Linked DNA regions of Arabidopsis thaliana. The protein of the gene in region 2 interacts with the protein of the main gene of each other region in a pairwise test. Each region holds a gene or a part of one and is shown on either strand. Other genes may lie near its edges.

Region 1 (8,432 bases), on a different chromosome or scaffold from region 2:
AAGTAAGCAAACAGAACACGAAATCACCAAAACAAAGCACCGAGAACGAAAGAAGAAAATTTTGCCTCCTAGTAAATCTCATAACTAGCAAAAAAAAGTCTTAATTTTACCCACAACTTAAGATCTCGAATTTAAACCTTAATCAGAGACAGTGAAACATAAGGAACTAAAAAAGATCGGTACAACAGAATTCCAGTAGATAAAGAGTAAAAGAACTAACCTTGCTTAGACTTCTTGTATCCGCCGCCATTGGAGTTGAATGAGCCAGCTTCAGGCCGTCCTCTCTTACGAGTATCCATGATTAAGTATAGATCCGATACGAGAGTAGAAATCAAATTGACTCTAGAGTCTAGAGAGCGAAAGGAAAAGCGAATCGGAGAAGACAAATCGAAATCGGAATAGGGAAAAAGAGTTAGAGAGAATAAGCGAGAAAATAAACCTAACCCTAAGGTGGTTGTCGTCGAGGGAAAAAGATGAGATTTTCCTCTTTTTTGTTTACTCTTGCCGGTTTTTTTTATTGGAACTTAAACCGGCGTGGCCCAGTGCACAAAATAAGATGTAAACCGAAATTTCTCTGTAAAGGACAATAAACCGGAAAGATTTAGCTTAACGTGGGCCGTGAAGTAAGCGGTGCGCCTGTTTACGATAAGCTAAAATGTCAAATGGATGACGTCATGTTTTCCTTATTTGATCTCTTTGTAACATTAACAAAATGGAACTTTTACCGGCCCATTAACGGCCCACAACTTCTTTTAATGGCACAAAATTTCAGTTCGAAGTTACTGAAATCTTGGGATAATGACTATGAAACTTGCAATCAATAAAAATGTCAGCTATAACTATTCGGGATTTGTGGAAGCATTTGATTGGTTTCTGTTTTACCAATCACAGTTGTAAACAGAAAAAATGTTAAATATTGAAAGAAAAAATGTGGAAGAAACAAAAATAAAACTCAATAAGCCAAAGAGACTCAAAAGCTTAAAGACACTCTTGAATGACTTGATAAGTATTCCCTACAGCTACAAGAGCCAAAAATGCTAAGGCTATTAAAATCAGCAAGGGTTGAATATTCTTGCGAAATGCAACAAGTTGGTCCTTGTGATCCTCCCTAATATGTACCTTGGCCATCACAAAATCATCTTCTTGTTTCTCATGATGAGCCTTCTTGATTCCTTCTTCATGTGCCAATTCCTCAAGCCTAAACAAAACGTCTGAATCAACCAACAAGTCTGAAGCATTATGATCATTATTAAGATCAGTTTGAGGGATCAGTTTAAGGATCGGATATTTGGAGTCTGACGATGAACGCGGGAAAGACTGAGATCGACAAACTCGTTTCCGATTGGGACGACACTTATATTCTTGAAATCATATTGCACCATTGTATTTTTTTTCTTAAGAGAGGAATACCAAAGAAGCTTTGCTTAGGCTTTGGGAGAACAAACGAATGCATTACATGTTTGTTCTTTAGGAATAGACGATAGAAAGGGAATAGGCAAAATATAACTACTTAGAGGGATTAGGCCAAATCTAAAAGAACACGGATTAGTTGGGAAAAAAATGGTGAATATTTTCATTGTCATCTACCTAGTTTCCTTTTTTTTATAAAAAAAATCCTTTTAATATTATCAAATAAAAAATAATACCTAATGAATTTAATTTTATTAGAACAAATTCCATTATTCTAAAAAAATAGAGTAAAAATTGGGAAAAAAAGAAGATATGCGTGGCAAAAAAAGAAAGAGGAAGAAGGTAAACGGGTCAAAGAATATCTACGTTGCTTCTACAATTCTCTATTATTGACAGCTTCTTCTTTCCCCTTTCTCTCTCGACTTCTAACAATCGCATAATCTCCGATCATCTTCTTCTTCTTCTCTCTTCTCCGTTATTCCTCCCGATTCTGCGATTTCTCAGCTTACATGATGACTGGAAACCCGATCCCAGTCAATCTCTCTAAGGAGGGTTCTTCGTCTCCAGGTATTTATAAAATTCCTTCTTGAGCTAGGATTTTGTTTGATTCATCGCTTTCTGTGTTTGATTTTTTACATATTTCCTGCTCTCTATAGCTTTATTTCATCATCGGTCTCTGGTGTCGAATTTGTTTCCGGCTCTTGTCAAGTAGTTTGGGACCTTAATACCTTCAAATCCGTTATCTCGTAGGGATTACAAAGAAATCGCAACGAGCTGATTTAGAAGAATTCGATTGAATAAATCAAACATGCTAGATCGAAGATGAATGAAATCCGCTGCAAATTGCAAGGGGGTTAGTGTTTTCTCTACCTTCTCTTATGTCTTCTGCTATGAATGCATCATCTGATTAGCTCCTCGTTAGCATGTTGATGATCACCTTAAGCCTGCTATGACCGCATTGAAGGATTTGTGGAACTTATTTCTACGAGAAACCAGGTGCTTCTTTTGCTAAACGCAGTGTTTTTGTTATGCAAATTCAGATTTTATTGTGCAATGTAATATGCATGTTATGGTCAAGGATACTTTGAGCATGCATCTCAACAAGGCTACATACACGTTAACCTTACAGTATGCATTGTCATGGCAGGTCTAGTTATCTCTTGGAGGTAAACTCAGCAACATTTACATGGTCAATCATAGTCACAGGTTACACTCTCTAAAACAAATACTTGTGCTTACAACCAAAATCCTACTTTCCATTCCCTAACAAATTTAATTTTCATACATTTTCCTGACACCAATTTAGAAGAAACTCACTATTCCATCTTCTGAGCAACCTCTTTGTCAGCCGAGCACATTGTTTCTTCTTAAATCCAGAGTCCTTTGGGTTTCATGACCACAGAATCCTGAGTAACATACAGCTTTTCTCTCATCCCTGTGGCATTGGATGATCATGCGAATATGGTGGATCTCCATCTGATGAGTTACAAGCAGATAAATCAATTATAGATTCAACATGAGGAAGAAGTATGCAATCGAGGTTCAAGAAGCTGGGCAACTATTCAGCTGTTTACGAAGTTACACTGAAGTGGGCAAGTGTGCGTTAAGAAGAAGACCTATATTTCAAGCTATTCAACTGTTTACAAGTTACGCTGAAATCACAAGCTGAGCAAGTGTGTATTAACTCTCTTATTATTTTTCCTAGGATTAAGTTTGTAATTATGCTTGATATTATCATCATAACACAAAAATTCAATGGTAAATAATATATTATTCTGAGGTTGCAAACTAAACGTAGCGTGCTTTTGTTATTATTACCCATTTCGCCATCCGAAGTATCAGCAAGCCTTGCAATGGCAGCAATGAGTGCCTGTTCATGTTCCTGCATCACAAACTAGTGTTATTGTTCTCTGATCACAACATTATACCACATACAAAAGGTATTAATCTCAAACCTTGAGCATTTTCTTGGCCTTGTCGAGCTCGAGTGGATCAGGATGCGTAGAATCGAAAACTCTCTCCACCTAAAACAAAAATTTCATGTTAGAGCAGGCATTGAGCTTAATGGGTATACAGCAGATAAAAAAACACGTACCTCCTTCACAAGCGAGTCTGTGTTGAACAACTCAATATCATCAGAGGAAGTTCTCCGCCCACCACTACCATTCTGTTGTGTTGGTGGCGGTACAAGTTCCCTTCTTGGTTGATGAATTCTTGGTCCTCTCCCTCTACCACCATGGATTTGGCCTCTTCTGTTGCCACGGAAGGATGCACTTCCATGTCCAATGTTTAAAGCTACCCCACTCTCCTCCCCATCCCATCTTATGTCTTCCGGTGGTATCTAAACAATAATAATGTCAGCTCTTATCAAGATCATCAGTATGTACAGACACCAGATCGCTTACGAAAACATATGCAACCACAGGCAAAGAATATTAAGATAATGTTCATGTAACGATTACCTCCTTGAGATCAACCCATTCCCACGTTTCATTAGCTGCGTGTATATCATACACCAAAGCATGCCGACCCTGTGAGAATAAAACAAGTGCGTAAATTGCAAATCCAATAGATAATCAGAGACTTCTATAAAAATTGGCAGGGACAACAAACCATCTATCTACCCAATTAGCAATCTACACTCAATGAACAAAAATAGTACCTCATCTGCATTGTACTGGGTTATAATTGCTTCATAGAAGTGGTTATCTTCAGGCCATTTTGTCCACACTTTTCTTCCGATCAGAGCTTCAGCAGATTCATTTCCTGATATGCCACTGGATACCAGACGATTATTGAATGACCTATTTCCAGTCGCACCAATTGATGGATTATACTGCATCTCACAGATAATTGGTTAAGAAATAACATAAAACAACACAATGTGGCTAACCAGAAGAAAGTATTAAAGAACCATCATTGGTGCAAATACGGCTAGAATATAAGACTTACAGATGGAAATGTTTTCTGTTTCTTTCGGGCAGCTGAGAAAGTGGGACTAGGAAGAACATCAAAAGGCTGAATAGTTGCATGTCTAGTAATTTGGCTTGCGCCTCCCTGTCTCCAATCTCTGGTACAGTTCCATGATACAACATATATTAAAATAAACGAGATTCATGATAAATTTTGTTTATGCTGGTGCAAATAAACAATCTAACCTTATCCTCTGGATAGTATCATCCTTATTGACCCTACTGAGAAGCTCTCGATGTTCATCATCAGATACTCTCAATTCTTTACGCAATTCGGTTATCAAGCTTTCTTTTTCCTAAATTGCGGAAATGGTACAACAAAATATATTCCAGAGATTAAGTCGTGAGACTGACAGAACACAATCAATGCAAAGGAGGAAGAGAGTACCCAAGAAATCGCATCAGACTGCGCTTTAAAAGCCCTTAAAACAGCGGTATATGCTTCCTGCTCAAGTTGATGAATTTGTGTCTCCATATCACTATGTAGTTTAGTTTCAGAGAATTTCCATCCAAACGAAAGCTATCCCTTTTAGAGATTTACAGTCATGTGGAAAACAGTTGCTATCAGTAATTAGAAAGCTGATGATAACAAATTTATCAGCCAACTACTGAAGAACTTTAGAATTGAACAAAATCCAAAGGAAACATAAAATAAAGGCTGCAGAAGCATAAACAAGACAAGACAATTCCCCCTAATTCACGAAACCACGGAAGCTGAACACTTTTTTCGAAACCCTAAATCCTAACCTCGGTTAACCATTCCCTAAACCCTATTTAAGACTTCCGTGCCTAAAACTAACAGTAAGGGTGTTGAATTAGGTAAGAACCAGAACGGCCTAACTCAAGCTCAATTCGCAGATTAGCTATCACAAGGTTCATCATCGAACGCCTAACTCAATAATTGCTCGAACGAGATTCAAAAGGGGCAGAAACGTTTAACATACCTCTGTTTTCGAAATCTAGAGGAAACCCCCACAAAAGGGTTTATCTTGTCGACCGATTCAGATACGAAACCCTAAAACGCTCGAATCGAAACTTGACCCGCAAAAAGCAATTAAGGGTTCGAAGTGCGTTCGGTGAAACGGAGAATTGAGGGGATTGGAACGAGAAGTTGAAAGAATTGGACAAAAAGAAATGAACTTTCCTTCCCCTCTCGAGAGAAGCGATATTTTTTTAAGCGAAGGGCACAGAGAGCTACGATCGATTTCTCCGGGACTCAGATGGGATGGCGTCGGAATCGCCGAACAGTCGTTTTAAAGACGAAACGATTCGTTTTGGTATTAAGATCTCTAAGGCCCACCAATAATAGCAACTTCGGCCCATATAGCCTAATATCTTTTGACTTTTTTTTTTTTTGGTCACACAAAGTCATATTGTTTTGTATATCGTTCCTGATTATATATGGTTTGTTGTGTATGGATGGTTTCTCTGAAACTTTGTAAAGTCTAAATCATGTTTGTGATATATTTCAATGATTAAAATTATGCTTGTGATATATTTCACCAACTAATCAATTTTGTAAAACAAAAATTATTAAATTAAAAATTTTAGTATCGATTTTTAATCCTTACTTTGTCAAATCTATTGCTAGATATAACAACTAAGAAACTAATAAACTTTTATCAGTGTACGTTGTTGATCACTAGCTAGCTACTACATAACGAAACACTTGTATATATGTGATCACTAGATGCCCCCTTGCGAGACAAGGGGTTAAGTTAGTTGAATTGAGACATATGATGATATACTAATCCTAACCTGCAATACGAGAACGAGACTTACGTAGAACCATGCACACTGAGATTATAGAGATACACTTTGAATATCTCAACATCATTCTTACCCTTTTCTTGATATTAAATTCTCTTAATAAGGAACCTCTGACTTGGCAGGCGGTAATGATTATTAACACAAACATCATATGGTTAAAACGTTAATTATTTTTTAATTCGCCAACATTAGACCAATTCAACAAGCCTTAAGCAGAGTCCCACAAAGACAGAGGTTGTGAGAGTAGGCATATGGTTCAAAGGTCTGAAGGCGACCGCCACTTGGGATTTTCCCGCAGAGACTATTGTAGCTCACGTTGAAACGCTCGAGACTTCGTAGGGTAGTCAACACCCGAGGAATCTTACCAAAGATTCGGTTTTGGCTCAGATCCAACGTAAGTATGCTCCTAGCGAACTCAATCTTGGAGATATCGAACTGAAACATGTTTCTCGACAGATCCAGTTGTCTTGTTGTTTTGTTCCGTCCGAAAAACATGGAACCATCTCCGGTTAAACTGTTTCCCGACAGAAACACAGCGTTGAAGTCGTGTTTTGACAATGACTCCGGTATTTTCCCTGAAATGGAGTGTCATAAAACCCGGGATTTATAACTTTATTAATAATAAAGAATGTTAAAAATGATGGTTACCTGAGAGCTGATTGTTAGACAAGTCGAGTTCAGGGACGTTGCCAACAAAAGAACCGAAAGAGTTTGGTATAGAACCGGTTAGCTTATTGTCGTGGATCTCAATGGCTTCAAGCTTGGGCATCTGAGATAGCGAACCGGGAATTGGACCGGGAAATTGGTTAAAGGAAAGGTCCAAGAACGTGAGGTTCTTGAGGTCGCTGATGTTATCAGGAATCGGACCGGAGAAATTGGTGTGTTTTATAAAGAGGAGGTTGAGACTCTTGAGCATGGTGATCGCGGGTGGGATATTTCCGGAGATTGTACTGGCGGAAAGGTAGAGGTAGGTGACGCGGCCGTCAGTGCATTCCACTCCGATCCAGCCAGTACAACAGCCGGTTCGGGGGTTCCAGGAGGAGAGGTAGGGAGGGTTGTTAAGGGACTTCTTGATTTGAAGGAGGGCATTATTGTCATTTGGGTTGCAACTGTAGGAAGATGGGAGAGATAAAGATGATGGAGAAGAAGATAGAGAGATGAAGAAGGAGATTCATTGTGATCATGGGTGTGGTTACTTTGAGCAGTTAAACAACTTGTGATCTATATAACAGAGACTTCAATGGAACACAGCTGTGTAATGTTACTGATTTTGTACAGTTTGGGTTCTACACTACTCCTAAAAGTTCTAACGTACAATAACCTTTTTATAACATAAATTCAATTCATCTCATAACTCATAAAGCATGGTGCATATATATATTTTTATTTAGTTGTTTTAACTATTTGATACGATATTCAATAATTTAACCATACGTTCGTCACTGCACCACTCAATTCTAACACTTCTGTCTTTGTTCTGTTCTTAGTTTATCGGTTGCTCAAATATAAAATAGCTAGAAGTGACTTAAAAAAATCGAGTAATGGAATCGCATATATTTTGTTATGTAAAGTATGGTTTTGAAAATTACTAACTCATAGGATTATGCCATGTGTCAAGTCTATCGATCAGATGTTGACACGTGTAAGAACATAATTAATTTTTTTCTTCTTAAAGAAATAGAAATACTAAAAAAAAAATCAATTAAATTTTTTCTTCTTAAAGAAATAGAAAACAAAAAAATAAATCATTATTAACATATACTAATTCATATATATATATCTAAAAAATATTACATTTTATTTTTCTTAACCAAAAGGAAAATTAACCAAAAATATTTATATATGTTATTGGTCAAATTTTTAATATGTATGGTATTAACAAAATTTTTATTATTATTAATTATGTTTTGTTAATTGTTAATAATTTTTAATATTAACTAAGATATAGATTTGATCTCATATATATTATTTTGACATGAAATCATTATCAAGTAAGATGAAGTGTATATAATTAAAATCGAGTTTTTTATGAAATAGATAGTTAAATTGTATTACAAAATTGAATATGTAAGATAAAAATTTGTTCTTTTCTTCTAAATACTAAATTATAATAAAGAAAAAGTGTGTAAGTTACTATTTAGACTTCAAATATCATCAATAAGATTGAATGGGTATTATAAAATAAAATGCATAAGACTACTATTTTACTATTCAAAATTATATATCAAGAACAATGTATAGATTATTATTTTACTATTCAAAATTTAAATATTATCGATA
Region 2 (7,369 bases):
TGTGCTCCATCAGAAATCCAACCACTTCGGTCTCTGCTCTCTCTTGTACTATTTCGAGTTTACGTTGTTCGAAACTGAGAACTCATTTGTCAAAATATGTTTGCATTTTCCTTTAGGCCTGAACTCTCTTTATCTGTCGGAATTCACGCAATCCCTCATCCAGATAAGGTAACACCAGACCAAAGTCTCTGTTTTTCTTCTTTGGATGTAATGAATTTGGATTTGCTTAGAGAATATTTATGCAATTAAAATCGACATCTAGTGTCGAAATTATATAGGTAGAGAAAGGTGGTGAAGATGCTTTCTTTGTAAGTAGTTATAGAGGTGGAGTCATGGCTGTTGCAGATGGTGTCTCCGGGTAAGCTTTAGCTTTTGGTTATGCTAACTTTTGAGTTTCTTTGTGGGTTTATCTTAATGTTGATAAAGTTTATATTTTTTTCTGTCTCAGTTGGGCTGAACAAGATGTTGATCCTTCCTTGTTCTCTAAAGAACTTATGGCTAACGCTTCTCGTTTAGTTGATGACCAAGAGGTCAGATATGATCCTGGTTTTCTCATTGACAAAGCTCATACCGCAACTACTTCTAGAGGTTCTGCCACAATGTGAGTGAGATTTGATTGTTATTCTCTTCAAAGATTGGTTTTTGTTCCCTTTTTGGATAGCTTGATGTCCCGGTTATTGATGAAAGCAGTATTCTAGCTATGCTTGAGGAAGTGGGTATTCTCAAAATAGGCAATGTTGGTGACTGTGGACTTAAGCTTCTTCGGGAAGGTACTACACTGTAACCTAAGATGCTAGATTGTTTTCATGTTCAGCCTTTGACAAAGATCTTCTTCTTTCATTCTCATTTTCAGGTCAGATTATTTTTGCCACTGCTCCACAAGAGCACTATTTTGACTGTCCTTACCAACTAAGCTCTGAGGGGTCTGCTCAAACTTATCTAGATGCATCGGTAAATAAATCCTTACCACTCTTCATGATTTGTGCTAGTATTGTACCTTTGTATCATTTTTTTTGCATTTCAAGCAGTTTAGCATAGTGGAAGTACAGAAGGGAGACGTGATCGTGATGGGTTCAGACGGACTTTTCGATAATGTGTTTGATCATGAGATCGTTTCTATAGTGACCAAGCATACAGATGTTGCAGAGTCATGTATGTATATGTATATACCATCTCTCTTGATTTTTAGTAAGTTACATGTTTTTTGGTATAACCATTACAGCAAGGTTATTAGCTGAAGTGGCGAGTAGCCATTCAAGAGATACAGAGTTTGAGTCTCCATATGCATTAGAAGCAAGAGCCAAGGTAAGATTTTTAACTTGATCTAAGAATGAATTTTACCAGTTCACGCAAAGTATATCTGAATCAACGTATATGTGCAGGGGTTTGATGTTCCTCTCTGGAAGAAGGTACTAGGAAAGAAGCTTACAGGTAAATAAACAACAATGTTGATGCATTATCCTGACATATTATACTAAACAAGAGTAGTTTCTTAGTTGAGATCTCTGGTTCTGAAAATTGCAGGAGGGAAGCTTGATGATGTCACTGTGATCGTTGCCAAAGTTGTTAGCTCATGAATCACTCTGTTCATGATAAGATCTTCTCTTTATTCTTTTTGTACAAGTCCTTGTAAGAAACTTGTTCTTCACAGAAATTGATAAATGGTATTTCAAAGTTCAAACAATAAGAATCGAATCTTTATCATTGACCTTGTGAATGGACACTCTTTAAGCTCATCTATCTCTTTATAGTATCTTTCTCATTAAAACAAATAAAAGTACAAAATTTCTCTATCAATGCAAACCAGAAAAAAGGCCTTGGGGTTGTTGTAACTCTAATCTGATAACATTATTGCGTGAAGAAAACAAATAAATTATACAAACAGAGATCTTCTCTAAGAGCTAGTGTTAATACTAACCAACCAGTAGCTAGCTCTATGAAGAATCAATGACCTGAATCAGGCAAGTAAATTATGCCAAACGCATGTATGTTTGTGTCTTTTCAAGCTGCGTTTGCTTCACCATTGAGATCTTGAAAGAAAGATTTGACTGTTTCATAAGTGGACCAGCAAATCGCAGCTGCTGGAGCATGGAAGAGCATTCTTGGTAGCCATCCTCTAGCAAGTCCTCTATAACCGTCTTTCTTCACTATTGTACGGAACACATCGCTTATTGAACTGCTCTTGAAACGGTCACAACCACACACACCCTGAAACATCACCACAAACAAACTTCTCAGAACAAACAAAACAACCCAAATCCTATGAAATAGCTATTGACCAAGTATTCTAAACCACAAATATAGAAACATTATCTATGCGACTTTCACATGTAAATTCAGTAATATTAAGTTTTATGACCATAGTTCTAACAATGCTTGATGCAATCTACATGTTACCTATAAAATCATACTCGTGAAATCACAAAATATCCAAAGAGAAGAAAGAAGATATCTTTCTTCATTCAAGTGATCTATAGGATCAAGAGACAACTACTTAAAGTAGCTTGGCCAATCTATAACCACATTAGCTATCAGATACTTAAAAGTCAGTAGCTTTAGAGATATTTCAATCACCTGACATTGCAACTGCGTCTTAACAACATCAAGCGGAGTAGTTACAGCAGCCGCTAACCCACCAGCCGCAGCTCCAGCAGTAGCATAAATCAACCAACCTTCCTCATCCTCTGCTCCAACAGCATGCTCAGGCAACATCTCCCTCAAACCTCTCTTAACCGCCTCATAAGTAGTGAAATGCACAGCGGTAAACGGAGCATTCATCAACACAGTAGTTCTATACGAAGCGTAAAAAGCACCAAACCCTTCCTCACGCGTTACTCTCTTGATACAATCCCAAACTCCTTTATAAGTTCCATTCCCAATTTGCAACCTTTGCTTAACCATATCCATTGGAGTAAACACAGCATCACTAGATATAGTAGCGAAAACACCGGAAATAGCGTGTGCAGCAGAGTTATTAGGGTTTCCACCGGATAAAAACTTCTTAGAGACTTCATAGAATGAGAAATAAACAGCGTGAGCTGGTCCAGCACCAAGTCCCATAGCCCAAATACCTCTATATAAAGCAGAAGGTCCATCGGTTTTGATAATTGAACGGAAAGCTTGACGGATTCCGATTGGTTTAATCGGACATGAACGAAGAGCTTGCATATGGGTTTTGACTGTATCTACTGGAAACATAGCCATGTGTTCGACTGAGCCAGCGATTGAACCGGCGACCATTAGTTGCCAGAATTTAAGAGTTGTGTTTTGAGCTGGAACGATGATTGCTGGATGAAAATCCGGTGGTTGTGGGATTGGACGGAGATCGGATTCTGGGAATTTGGTTGTTGCTTCTGTTGCCATTGTTTAGAATTGATTGAGAGAAAGGTTTGAGCTTTTAGGGAGATTAGGAGGAAGATGAATCTGAAGGAGGAGAGGTTTGGTTAAATTAGGGTTCCGAGAAGATTGGAGAAATGACCAAATCTGGAGATTTCTCCGACCAGAGAGAGAGGATGCGGCGGTTAAACTAAAGACAAAGCATGGGAGAAACCTCTGCCTTGTCTTGTGGGCTTTAACATCTTTTTCCCCAAGTAAAAATATATTTTTTGCCTTTTTACGTTTTTGCCTCTTTAGTGTTTTTTACCAAAACAAAAACGTACTTTTTTACTTTTTTTTTTTTTTTAAATCGTACTTTAATTTAAGCGATATGAACCTAACCAAAAAAACTTATTAGATTATGTTTATATTATGAATACGAATATTATTTTTTTGTCATCGTAAATTTTTAAAACTTTGGTAGAATTTAAATGTACACAAGTGGAAAAAAATTTATCCCTTGAAAACTAATAAGTGTTATCTATATTATTAATTGAGAAGTATTGTATGAACTACAACATTGTAAGGGTAGTTTAAAATTAAGTAAATGAATTTTTGCATGGGTAGTTTAGTAAATTAACAATCACTACAACAAAATAAATATCTTGGATTTTGTTCTTTTAAAAAATCGACTTTAAAATCAATATATTCATAATTACCCAATCCCTCGATTTTTAAATATACAAATTATTTTTAAATATATTAATCCAAGATGTACCACATGTCAATCCCTCGATTTTTTTATTATATTACAATAACAATATTTAAAATAACAAAATAATTTTTCATTTTACGGAATGAAATTATATGGTGGGATGAGTTTGAGTTGATATTAATAAAGGACGATAATCTACGAGTGAAATTTTAGAATTAATAATTATAACATAATTATATATTCTTAAACATTAAACAAAATAAACAATATTTACAAAATAACTATATCTTAAAATTTGAATTTTTAGTTACAAAAAAATCGACCAAAGGTGTACCACGGAGAAAATTTTACATTATATCATCTAATTGATCAAATTTCAAACAAAAACAATCAATTTATATATACATCAAACTAACAAAAATACACAAATTTTCTAAATATCTCTATATTATTCTACAAATCGAAACAAATCTAACAATCTATTTACTATGCAAAATACAAATAAAATATAAATAATATAAATTACAAAAAATAGCTATTTTATCATAAATAACACTTTACACTTTTTATGCATATTATAATTTATACACTATAATATCTTTCACTAAAAATATATTCCAATACATTTTTAAAAATATGAAACCCCGCACGTATACGTGCGGGTCAGAATCTAGTTATTTATAAACCGATAATTCTTAAAAACGAAGAACTCAAATCAAAAATAAAGTAAAAAAAAAATTGTCCTAAAGCATTAGATATCAAGTAAAATATTAAATTTACTGCAAAATATGTTAAAATATTGGTAGATAAAACATGAGATGTGTGAAAATCATTCCTATTAAGATCAGATTTTAGAATTTTATGCAGAATTGGAGTATTTTCTCTAACAAACTGAATAAAATCTTTACAAATCTACAGCTACAGCTTACACTTACATCCAATATTCTACAGCAAATAATCTACAGCTATAGTGTAACCAATCAGCCAGTAAGCTTTACCAAAATCAATTCATTTCATAAATTATTTTCTATATTTGTCTCCTCACAATTCATTTCCAAAGTCAAACAAAAATTAGGCACACACGAGATTAAGCTCTACCAAAGAGTCTAACAAATGAACTTATAAATAACAGTTTTACAAACAATCTTAAATCTCTACAAAGTTTGAATCTTTAACAAACTTATACAAATACTAATATAGACTTGAATCATTAACAACAATAGAACTCACACGATCTTAGTAATATCTTTAATGAAAGCATCGATGTTAGCATCAGAAGAACCACCTTTCGCAACCGCTCCACGACATATCTCACTGAGATCACAAGTCCTTCTTCTCATCTCTTTCCCTTCTTCACTCTCTCCATCCATAAACCTTTTTACCAATTCCTTGATCTCATCACTCACTATCAACAACTCCATCTGCTTCTTCCTCTCGATCCCCATTCCAACTCTCCACTCCTCAACAATCATCTTAGCATTCAGAAACTGATCCCAAAAAACAGGAAATGTAAGCAACGGTACTCCCGAACATATCCCTTCCAATGTCGAGTTATACCCGCAATGCGTCCAAAACCCGCCTATAGCCGCATGACACAAAACACGTAGCTGATCACACCAGCTCACCACAACACCCAAGCTACCTTCAAGAGCCTCCTTAAGCTTTAACTCACCCCCACGAGCCACCCAAAAGAACTTAACTCCAGCCTCTCTAACTCCTACAACAATCTCCTCCATCTGAGCTTCGGAGACTGAAAGAAAACTCCCTTGAGATATGTAAAGAACAGAGCTTTCAGGTTGCTCATCAAGCCACTTAAAGTAATCAAGTTCTCTATTCTCATTTCCAACGGATAGTTCTTCCAAGGGTATTAACGGACCAGTGGAGTAAACCGGGAAATCAAACTTGGAAGTGAAAAAGTCAATGGCTTTTGGTTCGAGCTCATAAGCAGAAGGGAAGAGAAGATACTTAGCTTTATAAAGCTCACCGAAAGACTTTTTGAATATATTGAAGACTTGATGACTATAGCCGTGTAAGATCTGTAAGTCACTGAGTCTTGTCGGAGATAAACCGGGGATGTAATCAACAATCTCGTCTAGTTTTGATTCTGGAAACAAACCCGGATTCAGAAATCACTAATTATGGATGAAAGTATTGAACTTTACGGTTTTGATCAGTAAAAATGGGAACTTTGTAACTACCTGATGGTTCGATCGGAAAATGGCCGTGACTTGCGAGAAGATCGGAGTTAATGAAGAGGGAGAGAATCGTGGCTGACGTAGTCCAGAAAGAAGCCACCGGAATATTCCTTTTTGTGCCTACACGTACTGCCCAAATGATGTAAGTATCGGCGATGATTGCGGTGGGAGGAGAGTTTAGACGGTCAAGTAGCTGTTCGAACGGCTCTTCTAATCTGGTGAGGACGGCGTCGATGAAGGCGATGAAGTCGTTGGCTCGGACGAGCTCGGAGGGAATGATGTTGGGGAGAGTGGCGAAATGGATCCGGTTAGGTTTCGGGTCGGACCCGATGAACCCGAGCCATTCTTCGGTGACGACGAATGTGACGGTGAGGTTTGGGTCTCGCCGGACGAGGCTTTTGCAGAGGTTTAACATTGGGTTGATGTGGCCTCTTCCTGGCCAAGGCATGGCCACCACGTGGCGGACTCCGAGTGGCTGAGGTTTGATTGGATTCATAGGATGTGGAACGTGTTTCTGGTTACTGTGACTTTGTGGGTGAGAGAAGTGAGGACTGAGAAAGCTGCAGAGTGCAGAGGATAGCTTTTACAACAAACGTGGTCCAATTGTTTAGGCCATTACCCATAATGTTAATGATTGTGTCTACTTCTCTTTCAAGCTGTTTTTGCTGATTATCACATTTGTTGTTTTTTATAACGTTTTTAGACACTCAAGTGACCGGTGTGCTTTTTAAAGAAACAAAACCTAATCCCAAGAAACAGACTGTTTAAGAAAACAACACATGGCTAATTTTTTTTTTTTTTTTAATTAAGACAAATTAGGGAGATTGTTATCATTCTGTTTATAACTAACAGAATAACAATCTAGTTGACAAAAAAAATCTACATAGTTGTAAATTTTTTGATAACAATGTGTTTTCTTCAGTGCTGTTAGGTTTAATTTCATTCATTGGACTCTTCTCCTAATGTAGTCCACTCGATTATGTTAGAGGCAGAGTTCTCAGGTCATGTTCGGTTGTAATATTCTTTTTAGTTGCAGTTTAATAAATTGCGAGAGACAATTGTCTATTCTCACCTACCAAAAAAATAAGATGTATGATCATTTCGTGAATTGTAGAGATAGGCCTCATAATAAATCCCGTTTTAA

The links. Proteins that work in one complex are often made in the same cells at the same time.
Region 1: the proteins of AT2G30160 (region 2) and EML1 interact in a protein complementation assay, tested with the Arabidopsis thaliana proteins (one large-scale study listed by BioGRID).

What each region holds. Positions count from the first base shown.
Region 1 is NC_003074.8:3,866,108-3,874,539, forward strand, and holds EML1 (Emsy N Terminus (ENT)/ plant Tudor-like domains-containing protein), read right to left. Parts: upstream 5,626-8,432; 5' UTR 5,327-5,625; intron 4,909-5,326; 5' UTR 4,858-4,908; coding exon 4,771-4,857; intron 4,679-4,770; coding exon 4,569-4,678; intron 4,481-4,568; coding exon 4,363-4,480; intron 4,247-4,362; coding exon 4,073-4,246; intron 3,942-4,072; coding exon 3,873-3,941; intron 3,752-3,872; coding exon 3,506-3,751; intron 3,435-3,505; coding exon 3,366-3,434; intron 3,293-3,365; coding exon 3,014-3,292; 3' UTR 2,887-3,013; coding exon of another isoform or gene 2,840-2,886; 3' UTR 2,715-2,839; downstream 1-2,714. Other genes in the region: AT3G12130 (KH domain-containing protein / zinc finger (CCCH type) family protein), read right to left, coding at 221-299. UniProt on the Arabidopsis thaliana protein: Probably involved in the regulation of chromatin states. Contributes to RPP7-mediated and basal immunity, especially against Hyaloperonospora arabidopsidis isolate Hiks1. Regulates negatively EDM2-dependent floral transition.
Region 2 is NC_003071.7:12,874,010-12,881,378, reverse strand, and holds AT2G30160 (Mitochondrial substrate carrier family protein), read right to left. Parts: upstream 3,581-7,369; 5' UTR 3,364-3,580; coding exon 2,575-3,363; intron 2,209-2,574; coding exon 2,002-2,208; 3' UTR 1,718-2,001; downstream 1-1,717. Other genes in the region: PBCP (Protein phosphatase 2C family protein), read left to right, coding at 1-29, 117-168, 279-358, 449-601, 691-770, 854-951, 1,029-1,152, 1,223-1,305 and 2 more; AT2G30150 (UDP-Glycosyltransferase superfamily protein), read right to left, coding at 5,257-6,134, 6,229-6,721.